4 linked regions of the Pelodiscus sinensis genome follow. The protein of the gene in region 1 purifies or fractionates together with the protein of each later gene. This does not show direct contact. Links are inferred from orthologs where the notes say so. Each region holds a gene or a part of one and is shown in the gene's direction. Other genes may lie near its edges.

Region 1 (7,279 bases):
CTGAAGTTTTAACCATTCTTGACTACCTTGTTAAATCTTAGTTTTTTTTCTTTGGTACCTATCACTTTAGCATCTGAGGTAAATACATATTTGTATATTATTGTGTTGATATTGCTAAATGACTACCTTATTAAAGACAAAAAGGGCAATATGTTTGAGTTAACAGTCATGTAGTAATCTTAACTTTTTCATTTTCTGATTTAAAATTTTAATTGGGTATACTTAAATTTGCAATAATGTGTTTTTAAAGAAAAAAATAACTATGCTTAGTGCACTCCTTTTTGCGCTGTATAAATAATACATTAGTAGCCATAATGTTACTTTTTAAATAGTCCCAATTGGGGTTTGAAGCTCTCATCTCAATTCACTGAATTGTGCAGAAGTCTGTCAAAGAGTTTACAGCCTGCTGCTTCTTTCGGGAGAATGTATGACTCACATAGTAATGACTGCACACAGTATCTTTGAAAAGGAAAAACAAACATGAAATTTAGCTAAAATTAAAACTTAAGAATTTGCACAATATGGCAGAAGGCAACAGAATCTTTTGTAAGACACAACTATACAAACAATGGGTTTGTTATTTTTACATCCCTGCTAATGATTCCTAGATCTTATAGGCTGCATCTACATTGCAACGCTATTTCAGGATACTGGAGTATTCCGAAATAACTATCCCGCATCTTCACAGCAAGCCCATTATTTTGGGCTCGCTATTCTGAAGTCCCTGTAAAACTCATTCCACGAGGAGTAATGGACATTTCGGAATAGCGGATTATTTTGAAATTTGGTGCTATGCAGACAGTGCTAAATTACGAAATAAGCTATTTCAAAATAAGATTGAAATAAGAGACGCAATTTGCGTAGCTCAAATTGAACATCTTTTTTCTAACTATGGTGCAGTGTAGATGTAGTCATATAGTGCTTTTCATCAGTATGCCATGAAGCACTTTACCAAGGAGATAAGTATAATTATCCCATTTTACAAATGGAAACATGGAAGGTAAGGCACTATTTTTTGAAAGGTATTTGAGTGTGCATAATTCTTTGGTCCCCTTGCATGATGCTCTCAGCTGAAACTTATTCCCCATAGTGGTGGAAATATTTCAGTCATATTATTCTGCAAACCTGGTTATGATATCAAAGTGAACATTATTTACATGCCAGGTGTCAAAATTCATCTACTTTTGTGTTTGTGAGGGAATGATTTCTTTTATAGAGGATGAGGGAATAATTTCTTTTATAGAGGAGGAAAGCATTCCATTTAAGTCTTGTAATACAAAATAATTAAGTTGAACTTTTTTTTTTCACCCTATGTGAAACCATATGTGAGACCTGATCCAAAGCATATTGAAATCAATGAAAGCTTTTCCATTGCCCTCAATGGGCTTTTGATCAGGCCTTTAAGATTATAGAAACGTATGTTTGGAAGGAATGGAGAACAGTTATCTAGTTCAGATGCGAGGATTGCCAACTTTCTAACTGCACAAACCAAATGCCCTTGCCCTACCCCTCCGCTTCTCTGAGGTCCCATTCCCAGCCTCTGTTGGTGGCACTCCTGCACCCTCACTCACTTTAACTGGGATGGGCAGGGATTGAGGGTGCAAGAGGGAGTGTGGGGTACAGGCACTAGGAGGGAGATTGGGTATGGGAATGGGCTCAGGACTGGGGGTAGGGGGTTGGGTTGTGGACTTCATGAGCAGGCTTGGAGCTGGGATAGGAGTTTGAGCTGTGGGAGAGTTAGAGAGCAGCAGGTTCAGGGTGAAGGCTCCAGTGCTTACCTCCCACAGCTCCTGTTCTGTGGTGCAGTGGGGCTAAGGCAGGCTCCCAAAAGCAGTTAATGGATGGGTGCTTCTCAACTTTGAAAAGTTTATGTTTTGGTTATTTATATTTTTAACTAAATATTTATAACCAAAACATAACTTTCTATAAAAATAGCTGCAGAAGGGGCATTGGGGCTTGGAGTTGAGGAAGAGAAAGGCATTTGACTATACAGAATTTTCTGCAAACTTTCCTCTCAAAAGGAAGGAGCTTGGGGGCTTATGGTGACTGAGGTATGGAGGCAGGATGAGGACCCCAAGTTCTGGAGAGTGTTAGAGCCACTTTGCTGCTATTTTGAACATACCGACTCTCTGACAGCACATGTTCCCAGTGCCTATACATAACCACTCTGCAAGCAGCATTAAGTCCTATGCAAATGAGGGGATACCTGCTACCTTTGGGGGTGATAATACTGTGTTCAGCAGACCCCACTCACAGACATGGACAGCGGAAGAATGGGCCAGTTGTCAGGGTATTGAGAGAACCCAATCCCCTGTTCAGCTACCAATTTCCTGTGTGACCTGTTCAAGGCACTTAATTTGTCTGTGCCTCATTTCCCAAATGGTACAATAGGGATGATTGTTATGGTTTGGATCAGAGATTCTCTCTAAACTCACAGGATGGGCTGATTGTACCACTGAACCCATCCACCTGCCCTCTGGGGCGCCCCACCACCCTGTCCTACTGGGACAGAAGCTCCGTTCCTCCCCCTCCTCCCCAGCAGCAAAGGCACAGAGTTGGGTAACAGCCCCCCTTGGAGAACAACACAGACTCGTCAGCACCCAGCACAGCCCCGCATGGATCCACATCCCAAATCAATCTGTCTTACTTCTAACCATGCCTATTACAAGATCAAGATCAAGAATACATATTCCTGTTCATCCAGAAATATAATTTATGCCATCATGTGCCTAAAGTGTCCATCTGCTATGTTCATTGGACAAACTTCTCAGACACTTCGCCAAAGAATCAATGCACACAAAACAGACATAAGACTTTCTCACAAAGAGAAAGCTGTTGCTTGCCATTTCAGCCAGACTGACCATTCCCTCAATGACCTTAAAACATGCATATTGCTTCAAAGAGACTTTAACTCCAGACTTCAAAGAGAAGCTTCAGAATTGTCATTCATGCTTAAATTTAGCTGTCTACACTGGCCGCTTGAATTTCCACAAGAACACTGACTTCCTACTGTCTGAAATCAGTGCTTCTTGCGGAAATGCTATGCTGCTACAGTGTAGACAACGTGGTATTGTTTTGCGCAAAAAAGCCCCAATGGCGAAAATGGCGATCGGGGCTTTCTTGCGCAAAACCGCGTCTAGATTGGCCACGGACGCTTGTCCGCAAAAAGTGCTTTTGCGGAAAAGCGTCCTGCCAATCTAGACGCTCTGTTCCGAAAATACTTTTAACAGAAAACTTTTCCGTTAAAAGCATTTGCAGAAAATCATACCAGTCTAGAGGTCGCCAGAGAAAGCTCATAGAGTTCGCCCCCCCCTTATCAATGAGACACACAGCTGTGGCTCCCCCCAACAATTATTTAGACTGGGCTGAGGGACCAGCCGGGGGGCGGGGTCAGAGGGAAGGCGGGAGAGGCACCGGGAGGGAGGGAGGAAAGAAAGAGGGGCCAGGCGGGGGGCGGGGCCAGAGGGAAGCCGGGCTGAGCGACCAAGCGTGGGGCGGAGCTGCGGGAAGGTAGAAAGAGGGACCGGGCTGAGAGGCTGGGCGGGGCCAGAGGGAAGGCGGGAGGAGGGGCAGGCTGAGCGGCCAGGCAGGGGGCGGAGCTGAGGGAAGGCGGGAGGAGGGACCAGGCTGAGAGGCTGGGCGCGGCCAGAGGGAAGGCGGGAGGAGGGGCAGGCTGAGCGGCCAGGCAGGGGGCGGAGCTGCGGGAAGGCGGGAGGAGGGGCCGGGCTGAGCGGCCAGGCAGGGGGCGGAGCTGCGGGAAGGCGGGAGGAGGGACCAGGCTGAGAGGCTGGGCGCGGCCAGAGGGAAGGCGGGAGGAGGGGCCGGGCTGAGCGGCCAGGCAGGGGGCGGAGCTGAGGGAAGGCGGGAGGAGGGGCCGGGCTGAGCGGCCAGGCAGGGGGCGGAGCTGCGGGAAGGCGGGAGGAGGGACCAGACTGAGAGGCTGGGCGGAGCTGAGGGAAGGCGGGAGGAGGGGCCGGGCTGAGCGGCCGGGCAGGGGGCGGAGCTGAGGGAAGGCGGGAGGAGGGACCAGGCTGAGAGGCTGGGCGGAGCTGAGGGAAGGCGAGAGGAGGGGCCGGGCTGAGCAGCCGGGCAGGGGGCGGAGCTGCGGGAAGGCGGGAGGAGGGACCAGGCTGAGAGGCTGGGCGGAGCTGAGGGAAGGCGGGAGGAGGGGCCGGGCTGAGCGGCCAGGCAGGGGGCGGAGCTGAGGGAAGGCGGGAGGAGGGGCCGGGCTGAGCGGCCAGGCGGTGGGCGGGGCTGAGGGAAGGCGAGAGGAGGGGCCGGGTCGAGCGGCCAAACGGGCGGCAGACACAGCTGGCGGAGAGGGCCAAGGCCGCGGAACAGAAGCTGGGGGCGGGGCGGGGCCGCGTGCTAGCGTCACCCGTCTCCCTAGGAACAGATGGGACGCGGCGTGCCTTCCCCGCCCCCATAAAACCCCCGGGGCGCATGCGCGCTTAGCGCAGCGGCGGCGGCGTCTCGGCCGGGATGGCGCACTTTAAGGTGCGGGGCAGCGGCTGCTCTTCGGGCTCCGCGGGAGCCGGGGGCGGGGTGTCCCCGCTGGCTGCTCCCCGCTAACGCTGTCCCCTCCTTTCCGCAGGCCGCGGACTCCAAGCGGGAGCAGTTCCGCCGCTACCTGGAGAAGTCCGGCGTGCTGGACACGCTCACCAAAGGTAACGGGCCCGCGCCGCCTTCTCAGGGGCCTCGCGCTCCCCCCCCCCCCCCGCCGTCCGCTCCCCCGGGGCCCTTCTCTGCCCCGCCCCCTGTAGCCGAGGGCTCGCCCCGCTTCCACAGCTCTGACCCGCCGCCACGCCCTTAGGGGGCCCCTAGACTCGCGGGGGGGGGGTCATCGGGTCCAACCCCCCCGGGGAGTTGGGGCTCAAGTGACTCGCCCAGCAGAAGCAGGGATCCGATTCGGTTCTTCCGGGAGATCCTGCACCCTGAGACTTACTCCCTTCTTCTTCCTGTAGTCTTGTGCCTGACTTGCTGCACGCTGTTGGGCCGCTGCAACAGGGGTGGGGAGCCTGTCGCCTGTCTGGGTTCTGTGGGTGGCCCACGAGACCTCTTGTCGTGCTTGTGTGGCGTTCCCCTGGCTTCCATCTGTGGAGTAGTCCTCCTACTATTACTGAAGCACCATGCACCTCCAGCAAAGGTACCCGGAGTGAGGTGCCTGCTGACTGCACACAACACTGACTGAGCGAGCCCTGCTCTCCCTATGCATCCAGGCAAAGTGCTGATGTTGTTCAGTTGGTGCACCCCACGAATTCTTGGTACACAAGTACAGTTAGCAAACTGTTAGTTACCACTACCCTATCCCAGGAGACCACCTTGCTGCTTATGACAATCTTGTGGTCCACTGAGATGGAGGGATGCTCAAGTCGGCCCATTCACTAGGTTGCCCATCGCTACTCTATATCAAAGGAGGCAGGGTTCTTGTACAGAACAGCTCATTCACTGCAAAGTTCTGTTTGATTCCCCAACGAGGCAGAAGTCCTGTTTATTCCTCTAATGTATGTATAGCGTTCAGTCATATCAGTTTTGTGTTGCCTGGATGTAGCAGGGCAGAGTTGAGAGCACAGAAGAGTTTCTTTGCTCTTGATTCCTGTGCTCAGCACTGCTTGTGGCACCCAGCAATTAAGAGGAGAAATTGCAAGGAAAGTCCTGATCCGTCTTCAACTCAGAGATGGAGCAGGCTTAGAGCACATTGAATTTGGAAAAATTTAGCCAACAAAGCATAACTCCTTCTCCTGAGCAATTTCTTGAATCTCTATAATTTGGGCAGGGTTGTAGTAGGGATTGCAAAAGGCATACCTCTTAACAGCAAGGCCATCCGTACTGCTAAGTGCAGAGGCAATATAGCTTCTTAATCAAATAGGTGTAAGAATTTTTAGCATGGGCAAAACAAAATTTTTGCCTTAATTTCGTTCTTGGAAACAGCTGAACTGTTGGGTACAACTTTCAAAAAAACTTCAACATGAGGCATGGGCATGTATATAAAATTTCAGTCCAAATGGGCAAACTGGAAAATGAACTACAAGCAGGGTCTTAATGGAAGTTATTAAGCAACCTTACGTATAGGTCTTAACTATCAGCTCTGGCTATAAACTGTTGTGGAAGTACCCAAATCCCCATATATGGATTGGGATGACATTGGGCTAAACATAGAAAATCTTAAAATTTCTTCACAGGTATAGCTTACAATCTAAGGAAGTCAAACAATATACAAAGAATTAGAGGCAATTAAATATTTCTCTGTATTTTTAGTCTTGTAATTATATGAATATTCACTTCCTCAGCCTATAAATTACACACAAGCCATATTCATTTTGGCTTCATCTAAATCCAGAAATCGAAGAATGAATTAATCCACTGGAGAACATAACATAATGCTGGCTCAAGTTCACTTGAGGATAGGGATGTAAAATCACATTTGGTTAACTGGTTGAATGGAGCAAGTGGAGGGGGAGGAGGGAAGCAGCTATAGCCTCCACCAAAAGTCATACCCCTACTTGAGGATTCAGTCCACAAAGCAGTAAAAAATGAATATTTCAAAGTTTGTGCCACATGGCTGTCTTTGGTTCAAAGTACAAGTTGAGTATCATATTCAATGTAATACTGAGTGCACCTGGAGATGAGCACAACGTGATGAAGCCAAATGTTGTACTGTAAGTGCAAGCTACGATCCTGAGACACTATTTAGGATTCTTGCTTCAACTCTAGAAGCAAAGCAGCAGGTTGTGGAATTTGTTTCCACCTCCAACTCCTCCTTCCTCCTCCTTAGTGTAAAGGTGGCCTGGTGATGGAGAAGAATACTGAGTTTCCAAACTCATTAAAGGAGACCCTGGCTTTGGTTTAGGGATGTTAAATATTGGTTAATTGAATAGTTGAGTAACTTCATGAATTCTTATTTATTAGTCAACTATTCTATAGTTCATAGAGGTGATGCTAGCAGCTAGTGCAATCCGACTAGACTCCCAAGGAGTGCTGCTGCTGCCTCTGTGGGGTGCCAGGCAGGAACTGGTCTGTGGGGGGAGCCAGTTTAAAAATCATCTCCCCTCGTGGATCGGCTGCCCATCACCCTGTGCTGCTGTCTCTGAGATCTTGGACCCAGCGCAAGCTGGAACTGATCTTGGCTGCCTGTCTGCGTACAAATACACTTTAAATGCAGAGCCACCTCAGTTGGTAGGGCCTGGACATGTTGCAAGCCAGGACTGAGCCGGGCTGCTGGCCAGCCTGCTAAAAAATATACTGGCAAGGGGGTGAGGAGGAAAAGGTGTGTAGTCTA
Region 2 (7,203 bases), on another chromosome or scaffold:
CCCAGAGGTGATAGTACTCTGGTGAGCCCCCAGTGCACTGCTCCAGTAAGAAAGAGCTGGAGAGCTGGAACACTTGGCTTCAGGAGGAGGCATGACCCGCTCTCAGGGCTTCCTGCCAAGCTGCAGGCAGGCAAGTTAAAGGGTCTGGCTGGAGGTGCATTCCCCCACTTGTCTGGGACTGCCCCAACCCCCAGAACCGCCCCTACTCCCCCCTAGGTCCCATTTAGGAAGGGCAAGGGGGCTGAAGCTCCACACCCTCCTGAGATTCATGCAGAGATTCACGCTGCCACGGAGCTTCCAAGAGGCAGCGCTGCCTGGAGTCCAGGATCAGCTGGAGACTCCAGCTGATCTCGGGCTCCATTCAGCACTGCCCCGTTGAAATACCACTATGGTGTTTCAAAGGGGAGGTGCATGCAATTAATCGTGACGAAATATTTTAATTGCTTGACAGCCCTAGTTTCCACTGGAAGCACCTTTAATGTACCCAAATAATTATCTTATAGTGTAGTGCATTGGGTTGGAGACAAAGGTGATGCAGTGAAGGCTGCTTCTCTATCTCAGCATGCTTAGTCTTAGTCATTTTGATAGCTATCCTTCTGGACTTTTTCCTGAAAACTTGATGCTGATCTAATGTTTTAGAGCAGGTGGGGTTTTCTGTGCATATGATCTACAACTTGGTTGCTCCAAAACTGTAATGTCAGCCCTTGCTTGCTAATAAAAAACAGTTTTCTTTAATCCATTTCCTTTCTCCTGCTTTCAGTCCAGGGACTAAGGTCTTTTAAAATGAGAATTTAATTTTCTTTGTGTGAGAAATCACTTCTCTTCTTCATTACCTTAACCTGTGACCGAACATTTGTTTGTTATCTGTGGCTTCAGCTGGCCTTCTTGGTAGAATTGTATAACATCTCTCAATAGAGGGGAGTTGCACCGGTTTTCTGTGTACAGACCTTTGATTAAAATAAAAACAAAACTTCACATTATTTTAATATCTTTCCTCCAAAGATCTCAAAGCGTTTTGAGCATTATTAATGAATGCAGCTTCAAAATCCTCTTCCCTTTTACTTAAATATTATTATCCCAGAGGACAAGCAACAGCTGGACAGCCAAGAAGATAATGTAATTCAGGAATGTTTTGGGGGGAAATATCTGATAAGGAGCAGTGAATGGTGGGACTGGGATAATGCTTTTTTTGGAATGTTGGATGGGGTTCTTGATTATGAGATTAATTCAATATATGTGCAACTTTTGTTTTACTCAATGGAGTTTTGGTAACCTGTGGAGGGCGGGGGGAGAAGGGGCAGGGATTCAGAAAAAAAAGATTCAGACTGGAACTCAATGATCTCTTGAATTTTCTTTCAGCCCTACTTTTCTAGGATTCTAAACTCAAAACTGAAATGAATTTTTTCAGTTGAAGAGAAACTCATATTTTTAATCAATTTTTTTTTCATTTTGATTCAGACAGATAAAAACAAATTGCTGACAAATGAACTTTTTTATTTTTAATATAAAATACCTATTTCCAACCAAACTAATCACATTGCAATATAATATAGCAATGAATGTGCTTCATATTTGATGTGATGACACTTCAATACAATGTTCTCAAATGTTCATCAGCTCACAGAGCTAATCAATGATACTCTGCTACCCACATACCTTCTGATCTGATTTGTGAGATTCAGCCCTGTCAGAAGGAGGAGTATTCTGTGAGGGCACTAGCAATGGGCAACCTAGTATCCTAGGTAACTACAGATAGTAGGTTTAAAACAAACCAAAAGGAAGTTTCTTCTTCACACAACACATAGTCAACCTGTGGAACTTCTTGCCAGAAGATGTTGTAAAATGCAAGACTAGAACAGGATTAGATAAATTCATGGAGGATAGGTCCATCAATTGCTATTAGCCAGGATGTGCATGAATGGTGCACTACCCTCTGTTGTCAGAAGCTGGGAATAGATGACAGGAGAGAGCACTTCTGTTCATTTTCTCTGGGGCACTAGGCATTAGTCACTGCTAGAAAACAGGATGCTGGGTTACCTGAACCTTTGCTTTGACGAAGTATGACCATTCTTATATTCTTATGGATCTCCTTCATCTCTGTGCACCACAAGATTGTCATAACCAAGATGGTTTCCCAGCCTAGGGTAGTTTTGCTGACTGTGCTTGTGTAACCCACACATCTACTCGTGGTGGTGTAGTGGTCCCAGTGTTTCTCAATCTTTTTTTTATAAAGTACCCCTTTTAAAAAAATTATAAGTACCCCCAGTATGTACAGTTTTCAGACACGCTATTTTTTTTCTACCATTGCAACACATTTGTTTAAACAACTTAATTGTAGCCAGGCTGGCGATGAAATTTTTGGGTGTAAAAAGTACAAAAATAATAAAGCGCTGTAAAACTTAAAACAAAAATTCTGTTTTCTCCAAGTTTCAGTTGTTGATGTTTCCCCCAGACTTCTCTCAAGTACCCCTAAGAATATTTGTACCAATCTTTGAGAAACACTGGCATAATGCAACTCAACATTCAGATTTGAATGTTTCAAATGCTCCAAATTTCAGTTGTATTGACGTACCCCCCAGCCTTATCTGGAGTACCCCTACAGGTACTCATAGAACTGATTGAGAAACGCTGTAGTATCCCATCTAGTGGCACTGAGACCACTTATAGAGAAAATAATGAGATTGCTCTACAGCCTTAGTTGAGTACTAGCAGGCTTTGAGCTCATGTGGTAAAGGCTTATGAACTTAGCTGTAGCGATCCCAGGTTTGATTCTGCCTGTGAGCATTATGCTTTCATACCTAGAATTTGCAGAGTCTGCCAACTGAGCCATAGCTTTGCTTTGATGGGATGCAGAGAGGATGCACTTTACAACATCTTACAGTCAATGTTGTATGCCATCAGCACACACCTCGCTTTATGTGTGTGTCTCTACTACCAGCAGTAGGAAAAAAACAATGCGGATGGAAACCAGCAGAATATGGCAGCCCTACACGTGGGCAACAGTAAACAAAATGTCTTGTAGGACACATATAGAACCCCAATCAGCTACATGTGGCCTGTGAGCTGCAGGTTGCTCACCACTATCCCAAGAAATAGTGATGTTGGCTTGTCATATGTCACCAAGCAAACTTGATGTTGAGGCATGGCCTGCAGAATCACTTCCTGTCACAGTGACATGAACCTCTTCATAGAGACAATGCCACACTGGTGCCTCCTGACTATGGCTATGTCTACACTGGCGCGATCTTGCACCAAAAATATGCAAATGAGGCTAAGCATGGAATATCAGTGAGCCTCATTTGCATATCTAATGAGCCACCATTTTTGCAGAAGAGGCTCTTGCACAAGAAGGAGCGTCTACACTGCCCCTTCTTGCGCAAGAAAAACCCTCTTGCACAATGCCATTATTCCTGAAAATAATTAGTGTAACGGCATTGCGCAAGAGGGTTTTTCTTGCGCAAGAAGGGGCAGTGTAGACGCTACTTCTTGTGCAAGAGCCTCTTCCACAAAATGGCAGCTCATTAGATATGCAAATGAGGCATGGCGATATTCCACTCAGCCTCATTTGCATATTTCTGGCACAAGATCACGCCAGTGTAGACATAGCCTAAGTGTATGTCTACACCACAAGAACGGGTGCCACCGTAACACAGGTTAGGCATTCCCATACGAGAGGGCAAGGATAAGTATAGTAGTGTGAAAAAAGCAAGTTCTGTGGCACCTTAGAGATTAGCAGATTTATTTGGGCATAAGCTTTCGTGAATAAAAACCACTTTGTCGCATGAGTGAGGTGAAAATCACAGAGGTTGGGAGCTACATGTGTATAAATAAACTAGCACACACTATAGTAGTGTACACGACAGCTAGCAACGCAAGCACAAGCCCTCTGAGCACCTTGCACGTGCACGCCATTCTAGCCCACGCTTAAGCCCAGGCAGCCGTATGCGGCTAGCATCCTTGCTAGCTAGTGGCCAGCGACTGCGGCCTGGCAAGTGCAGCTGTAATAGGGGCTGAAGCACTGAGGGGGCAGGGGGCCTTCTTCCTCCCTCCTCTGTAGGCCCCTAGTTGTGATCTCATCATCAACCCAGCCCCCGCCTCCACACACCGTGGCCACGCCCCTCTGCCAGGCCACACCCACTCTCCCAACCCCGCCCCCCGCTGCTGTCACTATTGGCAGCTTTGTGGGTCAGAGGTCACGCCGGAAGGCGCGGGGGGAGGGGGAGGAGGGAAGAGTTGGAGGAGTCACGTGACGGCCCCAATATGGCGGCGCCGTGTCCCTGTCTCTATTGCCGCTGCTGAGGGAGTCGCGCCTCTTCCATATCATGGGGCCCCGACGCGGGCGGAGCCTCTGAGCCCCGTTCTCCCTTCCCCCCGCCGGGGCCTTCGGCCATGCAGCCCCCGGCCCGGGAACAGGACACCCGCACCAAGAGCATGTTCGTCTCCCGGGCCCTGGAGAAGATCCTAGCGGAGAAGGAGGCGAAGCGGCCCCCGTACGGCCAGCTGCGGAGAGCCTGTCAGGTGGCGCTGGGTGAGTCCCCCCTCCCTTTCGTGGGTAGCCTCCGCGCCGCAGGGACTAGCTGCGAGGAGCTCGATAGGTAGCGGGGGATGAGTCCAGATCGGCTCAGGCCCCCTGTATTCTCTGGGGGGGCCAGTCCCCTCCCGTGTTGCGGGGACCCAGACAGCTGGCGCCAAGTGAGTCCGGATCAGGGCCACCCAAAAGGTGCCCATTCCCTTTGTGTTTCCCTGCAGGGAGAGCCAGGCAGGTGTGGCTGGGCGAACCCTGCCGGGACTGGGAGTTCACCACTTCCCCCAGCTCGCCCGGCTGCAGGGAGTCATGCAATCAGCGTGCAGCCCGTCTCTGCCAATGGGCAGCAGCATTATCAGCGACTGCGACTGTCATTAGTTTTACTGTTCTGCAGGTTAATCTGCCACGTTGGAGCCTCTTTGGTCTGTGAGCAAACAGCCTGCCTGACACTAGATCTTCCTGGCTCACAGGCACTCTGTTATTTCCTGGACACACACATTTTTTTGAGCGAGGAGGAAAAAGAGGCCTTATTTTAAACTCAGGAAAAAAAGAACATGGTCAATTCTGTTGTTAATGTAAAGGCTGTGGATTATTTTTAAACTAGCTAAGGGGCAATACAACTGGAAACCAGGAGGGACTGTTAAAGAACTATCAACTTTAAGAGCAGCTCAAGCTGATGATTCTTTAGCATCTTTTTTTCTTCAAAGAAAATTTTAGCTAAAAACAACTAGCTTTTCAAGTATGTACATTGTGTCTTAAATACTGGTTTTTACTGAAACACACTAACATGGCACTCTGAAATTTTCATTGACAGTGCAAAAGTAACTTGCAACTATAACTGCTTCTTTTAATATATCAGCTAAAGTAATGGATTTTTGGGAAAGTTACAGTGCATAGGATAATGAAAACTAGTGTTTGAGCAGAAGGAGTGGTATTAGATGAACCAGTCCAGTTCTTATGTTCAAAGGTTTCAGTAGCTTTCCCACCCCTGTTTAGGTTCCTCACCCCTGCTTTAAATAATGCAAACAACACAAAAATCATGTGTCGGTGCTCCAGCCTCACCCCGTCCTCTGTCAGTAGAGCTGGAGCACAGTTTACTAGCCTGTAGGTTTTGGGGGGGAGGGGGGGGTTTGAGGGGCTTCTCACGTCTGTGTGGGCTCCGACTGATTTTTTTTTTCTGTAGGTCAGCGGTCCCTGACACTAAAAAAGGTTCCCCACTGGGATAACATCAGCTTGAATTTTTTAAAATCAAATTTCAGGTCCTATACTTACCTTGGAGTACTTGTAAAGCCACAAAAACTGTAAAACAAAGTGTTGCTCTTTGTTCTGGCTTGGTTTTAAGTGCATTTTCCTTAGCACCATATGAAATACATAAAGTGGGAAAGAGGACTTATTCAGAGAAAATAATTAAGCAAACTAGACATAAAATGCTGTTAGGTAGCCTGTGTAAAAAGAAGTACTCCACCCCAGCTCTGCCTTACAGAAATATTGTGGTGTTAATTGATATGACATGACGTTAGCTTGGGAGATGGGATGAGGAATCAGGACTTTTTTTTAAGTTTACAGTTTCTGTTTTGTGAGGATAGTATTATGCATATTGCCTTAGAAATGCCAGACCCAGAAACCCCTGTGAGGATTTGGGCTTTATTGTGCTGGGTGCTGTACAAATTAGGAATGTGTTCGTATACGCAATTAAACAGTTAACTGATGAGTCTGGACTCGTTGGTTAACCTTAATGGTTCCATGCATGGCCTTCCTGCTGCCTCTGTGTCAGGCAGTAGCGTGGGGGGGGGGGGAAGGACCAAGCAGGAGCTGCTTTTAAGCCAGCTCCCCCACACATTGGCTCCTGGGTAGCTGCGTGCCCCCTCCATACTGCTGCTTTTGATATAGTCAAAGACAATAGAGCTATTAATAAAATTTCTGTGGGCTATTCAAACCATAAAAAGAGTGATATAAATGAATTTTGAAATAATTTCTTGTGGTGTTGCACATAGACTGTCTTTGGGGAAAACTGGAGGTGGTGGCTAGCATAAAGCTGACTTTTCATGTTTTTGGTTGTGTTTCTAAATCTGAGTCAGAGACAAAGTTGGGCATGGGCAGACAATAATATCTTGCCCAGCGATCCCTACTCCTCTAGAACCTTGATTGCTGCAATTAAGTTTGGAGAGCATTGCCAAATAACTCATTAAGCAGCCATCTTGATTACATTTTCTTCTATTTATGCATCCAGGTATTAATATTTCACTTCCTCAATGTTACTTCATATAAGCCAAACTCTTTTGGAGTTATTTGTATTATCTGTAATTAATGAATCTTACATGATATATTTGTTAAATTATTTTATATATCATATGAAATATTCCCACACTCCCCAGTGTAATACAACTGTTGTAGTTTGGAGAATTGAAGTAAGACTGCTAAGGGAGAATAAGGCTGGAGAATTATTTTTTTTCATTAATGTCACCTGTTTTCTTAGGTCACTCAAATCTTAAATACCCCTCTAATCATGTTGTCTCTTTGATATTGACCAACACATGTAGTGCTTTTTAAAATTAATGATTTGCCAGCAGAGTCCACCTACTGAAAGAAAATCACAGTGACATAAAGTAAACTTTGTGTTGTTAACTAGCATCCTGCAGTTGTCAACTGTCTCTTTTCAAAATTTCTTATTTGAAATT
Region 3 (7,257 bases), on another chromosome or scaffold:
TGGAAATACACATTTACACATGCAAAATGGATAACTGATGCACATGTGACAGTTATATACAGTTGCCTTTTTTTCTTCATAGTTTTAATGGCAACCATCTGTCTTGTCTTGTAAGATGGTGATGTAAACATCAAAGCAATTCAGTTACTATGTATCATGCTGCAGCATTGCAAGTGGCTTAAATGTTCAATTCTCAACCCAAAAAAGTCCTTGCAGTGATACTACTGGCATAAGGTATGAAGACCTGAGGATGAAGCCAGTGTACTTACTAGCATGTTAGGTCTGCTTCAATTTTCTCTTCTTTTTTTCTGCTTTCCAGTCTCTCAACCACCTCTCTTTAACTGCATGAGTAGTGCTCAAGTGTAACCTGTTGGTAGTGGCTTCTTCCCAGCGTGCATTGTAAATGTTAAAAGTTTCAAGTCCCTTTTTCAAACAGCTTTGAACCTGAGCCTACGTCGACCCAGTCGCAAGTTCTCTGTACAAGAGAACCTTTGGAATGTGTCCATCATCCATCAGTCACAGATGACCAAATAAATGGAGACATTTATGTTTGAGAATAGTTTGAGAATTCGACTTGGGAATTTTGTTTTCTCAGGCCCTTCGGTTTCAGGAACTTTATTTTCTCACGTGATATTTAGAATACAGGAAAAACAGAACACGTGAAAGGTGTTTAGCTTTTTCTTGTGCCTGCTGTCAGTGGTCCACACCATATAGCAGCATGCTCAAAATTCATGTCTGGTAAATTTAGATGTTTGTGTTCAATGCTAGTTTTCTGTTGTCCCACAGAATTAAGTTTGTCATCTAGAGATAAGTTATCTCATACAGATGATCCCATATGGCAGCGCTTGTGCACAGCGTCTAGCATTATGCTAGATATTAAAACCTAAGTGGAGTCAATACATCTTGTACCATAACAATTAACATCTTTAGACTGATGATTAGTCCACATGCATCACAAGTTAATGCAAAGCCTTGTTGCAAAATTCCTGGAGCTCTTCTTCACTCTGTGCAACACACACTACATCTGTCTGTTCAGATACGTAAGGCCTGCTAAGGCGACCACATAACCTAGTATATCCTGCCAGGGATTGAGTACTCAGCAACTAAACTGGGTGATACCCATTGGAATGAAGCCTCCCTCCACCCCCACAAAGGAATAATTCCATCTGGCACTGCTGTCTTGCTGCTGGTTCTTGGTTGACCAAAGACTAGGGGAGAAAACCCTGAACCAAATCTGTTGTGGAGAAAATGTCAGAATCTCCTATAGCTGTGTTGACTTCCAAATATCTTGATCATCAAGCTTATGGACAGTCAGTACTGTCAAGAGAGGGGCTTTGGTTCAAAGTACGTCTCTGCATCCTTATTTTTTATGCCTATGTATATGCATCAAAGGTTCAGGTACAATGGTCACCCTTTTCACATGTACTGGTATGTGTACTGATATATCAAATGACCTGGAGAAGGTCAGTGATCCTAAGCGGACTGCCATTATTGACAGAGAGCTGGGGAATCATGATATCAGCATAACCACTGTCTCTAAATCAGAGTAGGTGACACAGGCTCTCTATACAAGGTGTATTGCATTGTCTTCTTGCATGGGAAAAAGCAAACAACAATGCCATGTACTGAGGGTGATTTGGGGATTTTAGCACCATTGATTGAATGTCTCATTGGACTATCTGAAATTATTATAGCACTAAGAATATATATCACAGGTGACTGCCAACATCATCAATACACATGACCCAACTCTTTCCCCCAGATCTGAAGAGAAGAATTTGTTCTATCAGCAATTCAACAGCATCATCAGTAAGACGCCACTGGATGAGAAACTCTGTTTACTGGAAGACTTGAAAACAAGAGTCAGATCAGCTCATGAGACATGGCCACTAAGCACTGGTTACAATGGAGTGGGAAAAATGAACAATGGGCAATGGCTACTGGAGCTCTGCATGCATGGAAGACTGTGCATTACCAACATTTACGGTATTTCCAAGGTAGTTGTAACTAGAAGGTCTTGTGGGGACACCCCAGCTCTGGACTCTGGTACCAACTTGATTTAATTGTCACATGTAGAAAACAACAACGGAATATTCTCCATACTCAGTTTTCATAGTGCAGACTGTGACATAGACCATATGCATGTATGCTGCAAAATAAGGCTTTTGTTACAGAAATGTCATTGTACCAAACAAAGTTGTTGCCCACACATTAACATGAACAACACAAAAGGTGTCCCAGAGCATAGTAATTTCAAGAAAATAATAGACTGTTTGTGCCAAATGGACTGCGCTAATCAATAGAAAACTCTCTTTTCTAAATACCACTTTGTCATCCATTTATGGCTTTCTAAGGAGATTTGTGTTGAGGCAATTTTTGAAAAACAAACAGTAAGGCACCTGCAGGATTTCTTAGTTTTGCCAATTGGTCACCACTGTTAGGCTTGAAAAGCCAAAGACACTTTGATATCTACAGTGAATGAACCTGTGACTGGCATATGGAGTATCCATATTGTCTGTGTAAGCAAAAGGCTTTTCAGTGAACACAAAGTCAGAAAAAAGTATAATTAACTAACACCACAAAATACTTTTATAGGGCACTGTGCTGCTATAAGTACATTCTTTTGGATGAGGTGTAAACCCAATCTTAACTGCATGAGATCATTAAAGATCCTACGGTGTTTTTGGTACAGTAAGGGTGTTAGCCATTTTAATTATCTTGCTCACTCTCCAATATATTAAATCACATTCCACTTACCTATATTTCCCTTGTGCCTTCAATTAGATACAATATTTTCATTTGTTTCATGCCCTGTACTGTAATATAATGTTTCTGTAGGCTACTGAAACAGCTGCTATGGTCTATCCCAAATTTAGATACATTTCAGTGGCAGGTGACATAGCTATGATAGTTGTAGATGTGATTTGTGATTGATGTAGCTGTGCCAGCAAAAGCCTCTAGCACAGGCATAGTTATATTAGCAAAGTGTGCTTTTGCCCATATATTTTATTTGTCTGGGGGGAAGGAAGAGGGGTGTACGGGGGGAATTATACCAGCAAAAGTGCACTTTTGCTGCTATAAACTGCATCCATTCTAGAAGTACTTTGCAGGTATTATATGCTGGAATACCTATGCCAGCAAAATTCTCATCTAATGTAGATCTGGCCTTACTTACAAGTTAAATCCTACAATTAGATACCTATGTTCTAATTCTGAGCAAAATTTGAGCTTACTGTTATTTATTGTTACATAGCATTTGTTGAGAACTCAACTTATGCATGATTCTCTACAGAATATGAAGAAAATACCATTCCTAACCTAAGGGAATGAGGTCTATGATAAACATAGACAAAAATTAAAACACAAAAAGTGCCTTTTAATCACAGGAGGTTTTTTTTAGTTTAGGTTTTTTTTTTCGTATCTCACCGTACACTAAAGAGAAAAGAGGCGTTAACATTGATGGCCCTTGCAAAATAACTTTAAGGAGAAAGAGGGTTTCTTTCATGTATTGTTGAGTTAATGCAGTCATGGTGAAGGAAGCTACATTGTGGGGATGTTCATTTTGCTCTAGATGACTAAGGTGTTGGTTTTCTTGGCATCAATAGCAAAGAAAAAACTGTTCAGAAAGACCGTGTAAATGCTCTGAGGTCTTTGGCAAAAAGACACTTTATTTAGAAGCACACAGCAATACTATTTAATAAGAAAACTCCTGGGGGTGCTCCTCAGTCCTCATTAGAATCATGAACAAATTGAGTTAGAAAGTGGAGGGCTGAGAGGCTGGGACAGCATGAATGCAAAAGACTGCACTGTGCCATGAGAGAACACTCAGCAGGGCAAGCAGGTCTGTCCAAAAGAGTTCATCCCCCCAGGCAGTGCGAGACCTGGGCAGGCTCCCTGAGGGAAACTATGGCTGTAGTCGGGGTGAAAGTTTGGGGGGGGGGGGGAAGCAGCTTTGCCAGAGGGAGTCTCTCCCGCAGTGACGGGGGGCGCTGCCTGAGGCAGGCTGGCTGGCTCGGCGCCCGGAGGGGGCAGTGCTGCCGCTCCCTTTGCTGAAGTAGCGCCCAGGTGGCAGCGCCTTGCTCTCCCCAGCCCGTTCCCCTCTCCCCGCACCTGTAGCGCGCAGCGCGCCCAGGAGGCGAGTCCCTGCTGAGCCTCCGTAGCGCCGCGACTCGGCCCGCGCCCTCCCTCCGCCTTTCTGCCGGGCTGGGGCATCGCGCTGCCGCCGCTTCCTCCTCTGCAGCCCTTCGGCCGCGGCCCTGACGTCGTTTCCTTCCAACATGGCGAGCGCAGGTTGCTGTCGCCGCCGCTAATGGAGGCTGGTCCGGGCGGGCGGGTCCGGGGCTGAGAGCGCCGCGGTCCGAGCGACCTGCCGAGCGGGGCTGCAGCGCCCAGGCCGGGCCCGTCGCCGGGGGCCTCGCTCTCGGCGCGGCGACCTGCCCCGCTTTCTCCCCTCCCTGCCCCCAGCGGCCGGGCGGCCGCAGCCCCGGACCTGCAGCCGCCCGAGTGCCCCCGTGGCCCGGTCCCCGCCGCCTCCCCCCGGCGGGAGCGGTCGGTCCCCGCGATCGCGCCCATGTATGAAGGCAAGAAGACGAAGAACATGTTCCTGACCCGGGCCCTGGAGAAGATCCTGGCCGACAAGGAGGTGAAGAAGGCGCATCACTCCCAGCTGCGCAAAGCCTGCGAGGTGGCCCTAGGTGAGAGCCGGGGAGGGAGCGGGGGCTGGGGTAGCAGGTGCGCCCTCCCCCCTCAATTTATTTCTCTACGCCGGGTGAGGGGGGAGACATGGCGGCGGTGGGGCCAGTGCGTTGATCTGGGAAAGCTACGGGGAGTGATCTGGGGGTGCCCAGGAGTGAGGGGCAGAGGAAGGAAGCTGGTGGAGGGATCGGAGGGGCAGGAGAAGGGTTAGCTAGGACTGGTGATTGAACGGCAGCATGATACAGGCCTTTGTGATCAAGCAGAAGCTGTGGCCGTGCTGGTGTTTGTGTAGCGGTGGGTCGGGAAAAGAGACGGGGGGTCCCCAAGCTGCTGATTATCACACTGCGAGCAGGTACGGGTGGGTTTGAATCTCGGAGAGAGAGAGGTTGCGTAGTTGTTCCTTTTTGACAGCGAGCGGAAAGGTGCAGTCGGTTGCTTGGCGGGTTTTCACCGCCCCACACGCCCAGGATGAATAGGCAGAGAAGAAGGTGTGTGTGTGTGTGTGTGTTGAGCTGACCTGGAAGAACAAGGCCGCCGGGGAGGGAGCAGGTGACAAGCAGTGATAAAGGGGGAGGGGACGAGAAAGAAATGGGGGTGATGGAAAACAAGAGACAATGACGCTCAGGCCCCGTCTAAAATTGATGTCTATTCTCAGAATTGGGAAGCTGTTTTGTAGGGAGGAAGAATGAGGACGAGGAGATTGGATCGATAGCTATTTAAAGAGACCCTCAATAGAGCATATGTATGGAGAGGAAAAATAGCTACTAGGAAAAGGGGTTTCTTTCATGTATTGTGAGTTAATGCAGGCACAGTGAAGGGAGATACATTGTGGGTTCATGTTGCTCGAGTCTCAATTAGCAAGGTGTTAGTTTTCTGGCAGTTGAGTGTATAGTGTGGTTGTTTATGTTCATGATGAAAGAAGAGTTAGGTTTGTGACACAGCTGAGTGTATAGAGCTTAGATGAAGTGATATTGAGAAGAAAAGCCAGTTGGGTAGTATGAAAAAATGCATTTTGTTTGAAACATCATGATAGCATAGGGTAGGTCCCAATCTGTGGACTTAGAAATGTCTGCACATTCATAAAGATATTTGTATTATTTATTTGGAAGAAAATCTACCTTTGGTTTGTTTGGATGTAATCATTTTTATCCTTAAATTGGCAATACTGACAGTGTTGTAGACATGGTTTTCATTATTAATTTTTGTTGGTGAGCTGTAATATGTTAAAGTAGATTTATTTAAAGGACATAATTAATCTGAAATGTATTATTAAAATTGAATTACAAATATATTAATGTAATACACCTGCTACTTTTGTGGCTTTAAAATCACATTTTCCCTTTTTTAAATAAAATATGTCTCCTTTGTGATCTATCCTGACCAATAGAGAAAACTCAATGTAGATAAACTAACTATTCACATAGTCCTATCAGACAAAGTAAACAAACTGAATAAAGTATTTAATCTCTAATCTTTCAGCTATAGTTTCTAATTTTTCAGTTTTAAAAAAAAGTGAGTCCGTTTGACTTACAACATAGATTATGCATTTGCCCTCTTAAAAAAAAAAAAAAAAAAAAAAAAGCTCAACTAGATATTAAACATGCTGTTTAAATAACTGACATTATATCTGGACTATTTTATGTGAAATTAATTATACAGTAGGAAAGCTCATGAGATTACACGTTATTTCAGAAATTGAATTATTTATTTGTATCCCTGGAGCATCCAGATGCTACTATCAGGATCTTATTCCCATTGTGTTAGGTGCTATAAAAACATAAACAGTCCTTGTTCTAAAGATCTTGCTGTCTAATGTCCCGATCATGCAGATTGATCTGTGCTGGCAGACCCACACTCTCAATGAGCCCCATGGATTTCTGTGTCTATGTTGAGCTTTGCTGAAACCTTCAACTCTGGCTCTAATTCCAAGACTGGCATCTAAATAAGGACAAGACATGCATGGTCTGAAGATGGTAAAGGACATGAGTGTGAAATAGATAAGGGCAATACAAGATTTATATATTAGCTAATATATAAAACATGAATTCATGGATCTTGTGACTAGGACAATTGAATAAATTAATGCATTATTGTTTTTACTGTAAAAAATGTTTAGACTGGTGCAATAAAAACCTTAATGGGTAATTGTTTGGGGACTCAACATTTGTATGGTCTCATCTGCTATTTATAACACTGATATTTAACTCTTGAGTAGCAGTTCACATCCATAGATATCTAAATGCTTTACAAAGGAAGAGAAATACTGTTTTCCCCATTTCACAGATGGGGAAACCTAGGCATGGAGGTGAGATGTCTCACCCACATTACATCCGTGACAATGTGGTCGATAGAAATGCTCTGACTTCTAATCTATTCCCTTGTTGGTTTATACTGCCTCCATATAGGTTGAACCTCTGTGATCCAGGACTCTCTGGCCTGGCAACATCTGTGGTCTGGAATAGGCATGTAATAGTGTAGTCAATTAACTGATAAGCAAAAGCCTATAGGTTAATGTAGGGGTTCTCAAACTTGTGATATCGCGACCCCCCCCTCAGTTGCTCG
Region 4 (7,616 bases), on another chromosome or scaffold:
CTAACTATCATACTTTGAATCCTATTCCCCAACATTTAAGGCATGAACAGTAGCATATCATTAAAACAGGTTCTGTGTTCCAGGGAACAGAAAACTGTACAGAGTAAGAGCCATTAAGTGCCCCCCTAGTTTGGGAACCTATGATCTAGACCTTTATACTTATGGTTTCCTATCAACAAGTATTGGCTGCATTCCTCCCAGCAAATTGTCTAAAGTTACTGCTATGCTCTTTTACCCTCATCTCACACTTTAATATGGTAAGTGCTCTTTTTGTAACATGTACAAGGCTCTAATGCCATCTAAAGGATCATGTGTTGAACTTCAAAAATACAGTGCATTTAAAGACTATCTGAACCATGTGAGCCTAGGGAAGAATATACATCTGCAACCTGCCTACCTGGAACTAGAGATTTGTACTAGTTCTGTGATGGAGAACAGGATAAATGCCAGAAGACTTGAGTCTGGGTGTCAAAGGGATGAAAAGTACATTTCTTATTAGCCAATATTATCTCATTCTGACACATGGTTACCCTAGAGCTTTATCAGCAACCTGAAATTTCTCCACCCTCATTTTAAAGGTATTAGTGAATTTTACTGCATTCATACTTAATTCAACCACGTCTGCATCAGCACTTTCTGCTGCCCATTTAAATAATTAAAAGGAAATAATGCTTATGGTCTGTATAGCTGTCATAGAAAAACGTGTATGTGCTCTAAATTTAGAGGAAATACTTAGAACACAGATATGGGTACTTATGTGCAGTCCTGTCATAGACTTCCTGCATGAGTATGGACAAAATGAATATATTTCCCTCAGTTTCCCCGTCTGTAAAATAAGGATAACAATTCCTAGCTGCCTCCTAAAAATAGTCTAATCCTTAGTTATATATAGTTTGCAGAATGCTTTGAAAGCCTCAAAAGAAAGGCACTTTAGAAGTGCCTAAATCATTTGCCTTATGTCTCACTAAAAGGACAGAAGTATAAACGCTTTTTTATATTTATTTGAATCTTGTTCAATTATATTACAATTCAAACAAATATTCTACAGTGGCATTAGACACAAATGATTACATATATTTGAATCGATGTTTGTGCCTAAGCAGAAAGTCTCCTTTAATAATCTGCCTTCCTGAGACTATGCAGTCATGGAATAAAGCAACTTTTTTCTCTTTGTTCTCTATATTACCACAATTGTCCTTCGGTAATTTCCCCACTCTGTAAAGTAGGTCCCTGTCCACAAACTGGTAGGTTGAGGAAGAAACACTCTTCCTTTGACCTCAACACTAACTACTACCAGATTTTTCAGCTTCTGTTTCTTAGCACAATATTGAAAAATAACCTTCTATCTTGTGATCGTACATATAATAATAATGCCAACTGATTTGAGCTGGATTTTTCTTTCTGAACAGAATTTTTTTTTCTCCTCATAATTAAGGTACTGTATTTTGCTGAAGACAGCCTCCCTTCTCTCCTGTCATTTTCCTTGGTTTCAGTGTAGCCAGGACACAATGAAACATTCCAAACTCTAGAGGTGGCTCATCAGATTCTCATGGTGGTTTCCCTTTTGCAGTACCCCATAAACTTCCCTTCTTTGGACTCTGTATTGGCAATATCTCCTAAGAAACCTTTGTGTCATCTTCAATTTCATTAGCACATTCCCACTTTTTGTGCCATGGTCAATAATAAAAATGTTAAATAAGACTGGTCCCACAATTGATTCTTCAGGATCTCCACTAGTAACCTCTCTCCAACCTGACATAACTTAAGCATTACCATTAAGAACTCCCCTTTCTTACAGATATTCTTATACCCAACTTTACAACATAGTCTATATCACCAGTATGTATCCACAACAACCTAGTCATTAGTTCATTCATTTCATCTCACTTGGACGGTGGCAACTGCTTTCCTCATTGCCTTCATAATCATACCCCCTTCTGCTACATGTTAATAATGTCTTTTCTGATTGTATTTGTATAAACCCGTGATTCTCAAAGTGGTCCGTGAATCCACTCTGAGAAAGCTGCCAATGGAATGCCCCAGTTTGTTTATTTACTGGTGCCGCAGCCACGGAATCTTGCAGCTCCCATTGGCTCCAGTTTGCAGACAAAGGTTAGCCGCGGGAAGTGTTGTGGCCTGAGCCGCTGTTTCATATGCCCCAGTTAAAACCAAAATAATTGAATGTTGGTGTCTGAGTTTTAATGTATTGGGGATTTTGAAGGATTAAATAGCCACAGACGTGCATATTGAAGTTATTTGCTCTTCTTCTCTGAGAAATAATGGCTTATGACTAGTGGTAAATAGTTACTGATTTTATTTCAGGAATACAGTATATGTTCTTTCCTTTTTTATTAGCTAATAAAAGATCAGCTAAGGAAAAATCAGAGGAAGTGAGATGACCAAGCGGCAGAACTGCCAAATTTTAGATGTGGAACAGGCACAAAAGTTCAGATCTATACTCAGTTTGGACTAAGGATGTTAAATATCGGTTAATTTACTAGTCGATAGGCAGTGCCACATTCCTCCGTTGAAATGTACAAAAACCCTGCTAAGGCTCTTGTACAGCTCAAAGGAGGAATGTGGAATCCACTGTACAGCCCGGGGCCATCAAGAAGTCCTGCTGTCTCCGGGCTGCACGCGGGCATGCCAGTTTTGAAATGTACAAGAGTCCCCAGTGGGGGCTCTTGTGCATTTTAAAGCGGAAGTTCCCACATGGAGCCTGGGGCCAGTGGGGTAATCAAGAGTCCCCCGCTGACCTTGGGTTCCATGTTGAACTGCCAATTTGATATGCCACACAGAGCTTGGGGTCAGGTGCCACTTTGAAATGCTGAGGCATTTAAACAAACAAGCTTTAGTGCATGAGGCTTATATTGGTCTAATTCTGTCAGTTTAGCCAGTGAAACGTGCCCATATAATAGAGGTCTATAAAATCATGAGTGGTATGGAAAAAGTGAATAAGGAAAAAATATTTACTTATTCCCACAATACAAGAACTAGGAATCACCAAATGAAATTAGTAGGCAGCAGGTTTAAAACAAACAAAAGGAAATTTTTCTTCACTCAGTGCATAGTAAACCTGTGGAACTCCTTGCCAGAGGACGTGGTGAAGACCAGGACTTTAACAGGGTTCAAAAAAGAACTGAATAAATTCAAGGATGTTAGGTCCATCAATGGCTATTAGCAGGGCTCGCCAGCTGCGCTGTCCGGCATTCTGTGCATGCGCAGATCGCCCAAACCTGGCTCTTCATCGATTGTCGAGCCCTGGCTATTAGCCAGAATGGGTAGAAATGGTGTCCCTATCTCTGTTTGTCAGAGGCTGGAAATGAATCACTTGATTGTCTGTTCTCTTCACTCCCTCTGAGGCATCTGGCATTCGCCACTGTTGGCAGGCAGGATACTGGGCTAGATGGACCTTTGGTCTGACCCAGTATGCCCATTCTTATGTTCTTTATAAACGGTTCAAATGGTTCTAATATACTTTAATTGCAAAACTACACTGAATTTCATCTGCAGTTGCTTTGCCACTAAAACAAAACACAAACAAAAATGTGGCATCTAATGACACTTGTAGATCATTACATTCTGATTGTAGGTTATATCCCTTCCCACAATTCTTTATCTTCAGCAGAAACTCTTTCTGTATATTTGTATTGTGCCTAAACAAAGTAGCTCTGATCTCAGCTGAAGTGTTTAGGTACTACTGTAAGTAACAAATAATAATAAATAATGTTGTTCCATCCCTCCGGAGAGATTCACACTCTTCCTCTAGACTTAACTGTTTTCTTGCTACTTTTCACTAATGGCTTGTTACAAAGGAAAGTCATACCATAAGTGAATTAAAACATAGGCAGGCTTGGAAGAATTAGATTTGTGTTGGTATAAACATGACTTCCACTCTGGGCACATCAACAAAATATATTTCTCTAAGTATGAAAATGTACAAGTAGGCAAAGGAAAAGAACTGTTGCTCGAGAACTTGATTTACTTAGTATATTTTGCCATGTGATTTTGACAGTTTGTGCTTCAATATTTTACAGTTTTTAGTCTTTGAATCTCAGCATCTACTATCATTAATTACTGTGGGACCACCGGGAGAAGGGATGCTAATTTTCTTTTAAAAGTGCTTAAATTGCCAAAATTATAAAAAATAACAATCAAACTCTCCCAAGCCTACATACAAAGACAACAGAATAAAACCCCAGGCGGACTCCCGGTTTCTGGTGGAAGAGCTAGTTTCTAGCCTAGTCTAGTCTGTGTTGTTTCGTAAGGAATTTAAACAAACAAGCTTTAGTGCATGAGGCTTATATTGGTCTAATTCTGTCAGTTTAGCCAGTGAAACGTGCCCATGTAAACAGCAGCAGGACGATAGCCCCACGCCAGCGACTAATCCTGCCCTGAAAGCCAGGGCAGCTACCGCACTGGAGCGCCTCAGACAGACCCCTGAGACCAGCTGCACGCTCCGGACTGTACCATTTAGCTGCTTCCGTGGGGGGTGCATGTGAGACACCCCTTTCCTGACGCGTGTATGGGAACAACTCGATTTGCCACCGCGCCCGTAGAGCACAAAAAATATCTCCCCTCTCCTCGCGCATGGTGCAAGCCACGGCTCCTCGCACGGGTGTGGCCGGTGGAACAAACCAACAGCAAGCGACGGGGGTGGCGGCAGCATCATAGGAAGGCGACGCGGGAGATTGAAGTGCCTGCGCCGCCGCTGGCCAGGGGCCCTCGCGAGGTGAGGAGGAGGAAGGGAGAGTCCGAGCCTGCTGCGCCCGCCCCTCTCTCGGTAAGTGCCAGTCACTGCGCAGGGGCAATTCAGGGGGAGGGCGCTGGAGTCAGCGCCTCGCCCGCCGGCTCCCCGCAGCTGGGCCGCCCCCCGCTCGCAGGCGGGTCGTGCTGGGTGAGCGCGGCCAGAGCCCCGCAGTGACACACACGCTACCCCCCCGGGCCCAGGCCCAACATCGCTGCCTTGCCCGGCCCTCGCCGCCGCGCTAAGGGCGCGCCCGGCCTCAGCCCCTGGAAATCGTTGCGGGCGGCCAGAGGCCCAGCACGGAGCTGCGTTTGGGGGGGAGCGGAGGCTGAAGCGGGTGGCTTTTGCCCGGTCTGACAATAAATCTGGAGCGTGTGTGTGTTTGTGTCTTTTTTTTGGGGGGGGGGGGAGTTCACGGCGTTTCAGCAGGCGCTGTGTTCCCCGCCCTCCTGTGTGTGCGCTTTACTTGGGCGATCCAGCGTTAAGTTCGCGCTGTGTTCCAGCTGCGGGGCGGCGGGGCTGCTTACCGCGCGTATTGGCCTTGGTGCCTAGTTTCTGATGGACTAAAAAAGGAAATAAGTGAACTTTGCTTGCAAGGGAAACTGGTGTGAGTGTCCCGCTCAGTGTATCTACCTAGCACAACTGATGTACGTCTCGCCTCGCTTGTGACTCCCCCCCCTCCTCCTGTCTGTCGGCTCTCCTCCCCCATAACTCTTCTCACAGTAGTTACTGGTCTCCCAATCACTTCACTGTGGTTGTCTGGGATTTGCCTTTCCTTAAAGCAACACTGAAATGTCTGGCTAAAAACACTTCAGCGGAAAGATAAAAAGGACACCAGTTCCTGGAAGAATGCTAAATGAAAAGTGAGACGCTGCCAAGAAACGTTATGGGGTGAGGAGGGGTTGTATTTGCTAGGTCTCCAAGCAGTTTAAAGTTTGAGCTAGCAATAAAAGCAAAAATGCAACGTGCCTTATGGTAAAGGACGAACTGTTTTTTCCACTGCTTTTTGAGAGCACCATACGTGGACTGGCTGTAATCATGGGCATTACAGGTTAACTAGTTCTACACTGCTTACTGGATAACTGTACCACCTTGAACAAGCTGTAGAACCGGAAAGTGACCTTTTCAGTTGTCTTGCTTCTGATCTGAAGGCGGTTTAAAAACAACTTGTGAAATGCCCCATGAAAAGTAAGCCATTCAGTTTAGCGGAGGAACTGTAGCCTGCTTGTATGGCGACAACGCCAGAACTAATGATTGCATTTCTCATTGGCTCAATAATAATCGTGTCCATGGAAGTCCCAGCAGCGCTTTTGCTATAAAAGCCAAGACATGAACTAGTTAAGGCAAAAAGCCCGTGTGCTACAAAATGTAGGCGTTCCCTCTTATTTTGAGCTATAAAGCAGCACTAATGTAGGAGGAGCAACAAAAAGAATCGAAACCTGAACTGCACCATAAATTGGCAATTTGCTAGACCTGATACTGGAGTCCTAACCTGTTAAGTATTTAGAAAGGCGGCGGCAGTGTAAGTAGTTCGTTTTGAAACTTTAGTTCACTCACTGTCGTAAGCGTTTTGCCTCGGATAACGTGGAGACAGCACGGTATGTCAGGACTGTGTGCTCATGGTTCGTACAGAGCACGTCCCTTCTATCCTCTTCCTATAGGAGCCCCCACCGCTTCCTGTTTCTCTAGAACTACATCTCCCAGTAATATCTCTGGCATCGAGTTGAAAGTGAAAACAAACTTTAGGTTACCATTTCTTGGCAGTAGTAGCAGCACATGTCCTTTCTCTTCTGTTTTCCGCTTTACAGCTTGGGTGTGTACAAGAGAAGCCATCAATACTCATCGTCCTGAAGAAGGGGTCGGAGCCGGACCCCTCGGATTATTTTCCGAGAACAGCTGTCGGGCCCTCTTGAGAGGCCAGAAATCGACTCTTTTAAAGAGCTAATAATCCAAATTATGCAGTAAAAATCCGTCCATGAGTCTCACGTGAAATTTGACAACGTAAGGCCAGCTGGTGTTCCTGCTGCTGCCCCGATTGCTGAAGAAGGAAGTACATTTCATTCCCAAGAGCTGTTGTCGTAGCCATGTGGGGCTAGGAGAGGAGCAGTGATTCTTTACGGTATTAAGCAGTAAATATGGAGGCTGCCTGCAAATCAGATGGCGGGGAGCAGAGTCATCCTCGTAGCAGCGTGGAAGCGCCTGGGGACGCTTCTATGGACAGCTACCTGCGATCTCAGGGTTTATATAGAAAGCGGGTTGCCAAGGATGGATCCTGTCTTTTCAGGGCTGTAGCTGAGCAGGTAAGTAGTTTATTTAATTGAAGTAACCAGCAGTACTTGCACGTAAACGCTGGCGATAGCTGGGGGGTGGGGCGGAGGATGGATCTCATTAGTGAGTGTTAATAAGGATGAAAAACAAGGGAGTGAGGATTAAAAAAACGTTGTCTGTGTCAAGGGGAAAGCACCACATCTCAGGGAGGTTAGAGTCTGACATACTGGCATGTGTGCACACTCCTCGTGTTCCATCTAGGGACTTTAGGTTGAAGTTTTGAACTTCCCAGTCTCAGAAAAGGATTTTTTAGTGCAAAATTAGCACAAACTGGGAATAGTCACCTTGTATAAAAACCATCCAGGAAACAACTTTAAAGCCTTTCCCTGCTTTAGATTGTGAATGAGTTTGCTGAAGCTTTTGAGTAAGATAATGATATTCATGTCATGTCTCCCCCCCCCCCCCCCAACCTATTTTGAAAAAAGAAAAGTGTCTTAAGTACAAATAAACTGCTGTGGTAGGACTAATGCTTCAGATTCTGACCTAGGTCTCCTCACTTTGAGTGGTATTGTTACATTGATCACATTTCTCTTCCACTAAC

Evidence for each region.
Region 2: the proteins of MYCBP (region 1) and ARFGEF2 purify together in Homo sapiens (co-immunoprecipitation; 4 studies listed by BioGRID and IntAct, with this or other methods). This does not show direct contact. The link is inferred for Pelodiscus sinensis from reciprocal best matches to the Homo sapiens genes MYCBP and ARFGEF2.
Region 3: the proteins of MYCBP (region 1) and ARFGEF1 purify together in Homo sapiens (co-immunoprecipitation; 4 studies listed by BioGRID and IntAct, with this or other methods). This does not show direct contact. The link is inferred for Pelodiscus sinensis from reciprocal best matches to the Homo sapiens genes MYCBP and ARFGEF1.
Region 4: the proteins of MYCBP (region 1) and OTUD4 purify together in Homo sapiens (co-immunoprecipitation; 3 studies listed by BioGRID and IntAct, with this or other methods). This does not show direct contact. The link is inferred for Pelodiscus sinensis from reciprocal best matches to the Homo sapiens genes MYCBP and OTUD4.

Annotation. Positions count from the first base shown.
Region 1 is NC_134735.1:11,659,760-11,667,038, reverse strand, and holds the start of MYCBP (C-Myc-binding protein), read left to right. Parts: upstream 1-4,261; 5' UTR 4,262-4,482; coding exon 4,483-4,497; intron 4,498-4,594; coding exon 4,595-4,667; intron 4,668-7,279. UniProt on the Homo sapiens protein: May control the transcriptional activity of MYC. Stimulates the activation of E box-dependent transcription by MYC.
Region 2 is NC_134728.1:20,680,875-20,688,077, reverse strand, and holds the start of ARFGEF2 (brefeldin A-inhibited guanine nucleotide-exchange protein 2), read left to right. Parts: upstream 1-4,198; 5' UTR 4,199-4,389; coding exon 4,390-4,528; intron 4,529-7,203. UniProt on the Homo sapiens protein: Promotes guanine-nucleotide exchange on ARF1 and ARF3 and to a lower extent on ARF5 and ARF6. Promotes the activation of ARF1/ARF5/ARF6 through replacement of GDP with GTP. Involved in the regulation of Golgi vesicular transport.
Region 3 is NC_134712.1:57,511,375-57,518,631, forward strand, and holds the start of ARFGEF1 (brefeldin A-inhibited guanine nucleotide-exchange protein 1), read left to right. Parts: upstream 1-4,246; 5' UTR 4,247-4,570; coding exon 4,571-4,694; intron 4,695-7,257. UniProt on the Homo sapiens protein: Promotes guanine-nucleotide exchange on ARF1 and ARF3. Promotes the activation of ARF1/ARF3 through replacement of GDP with GTP. Involved in vesicular trafficking.
Region 4 is NC_134715.1:41,054,048-41,061,663, forward strand, and holds the start of OTUD4 (OTU domain-containing protein 4), read left to right. Parts: upstream 1-4,606; 5' UTR 4,607-4,783; intron 4,784-4,802; exon of another isoform or gene 4,803-6,269; intron 6,270-6,555; 5' UTR 6,556-6,882; coding exon 6,883-7,047; intron 7,048-7,616.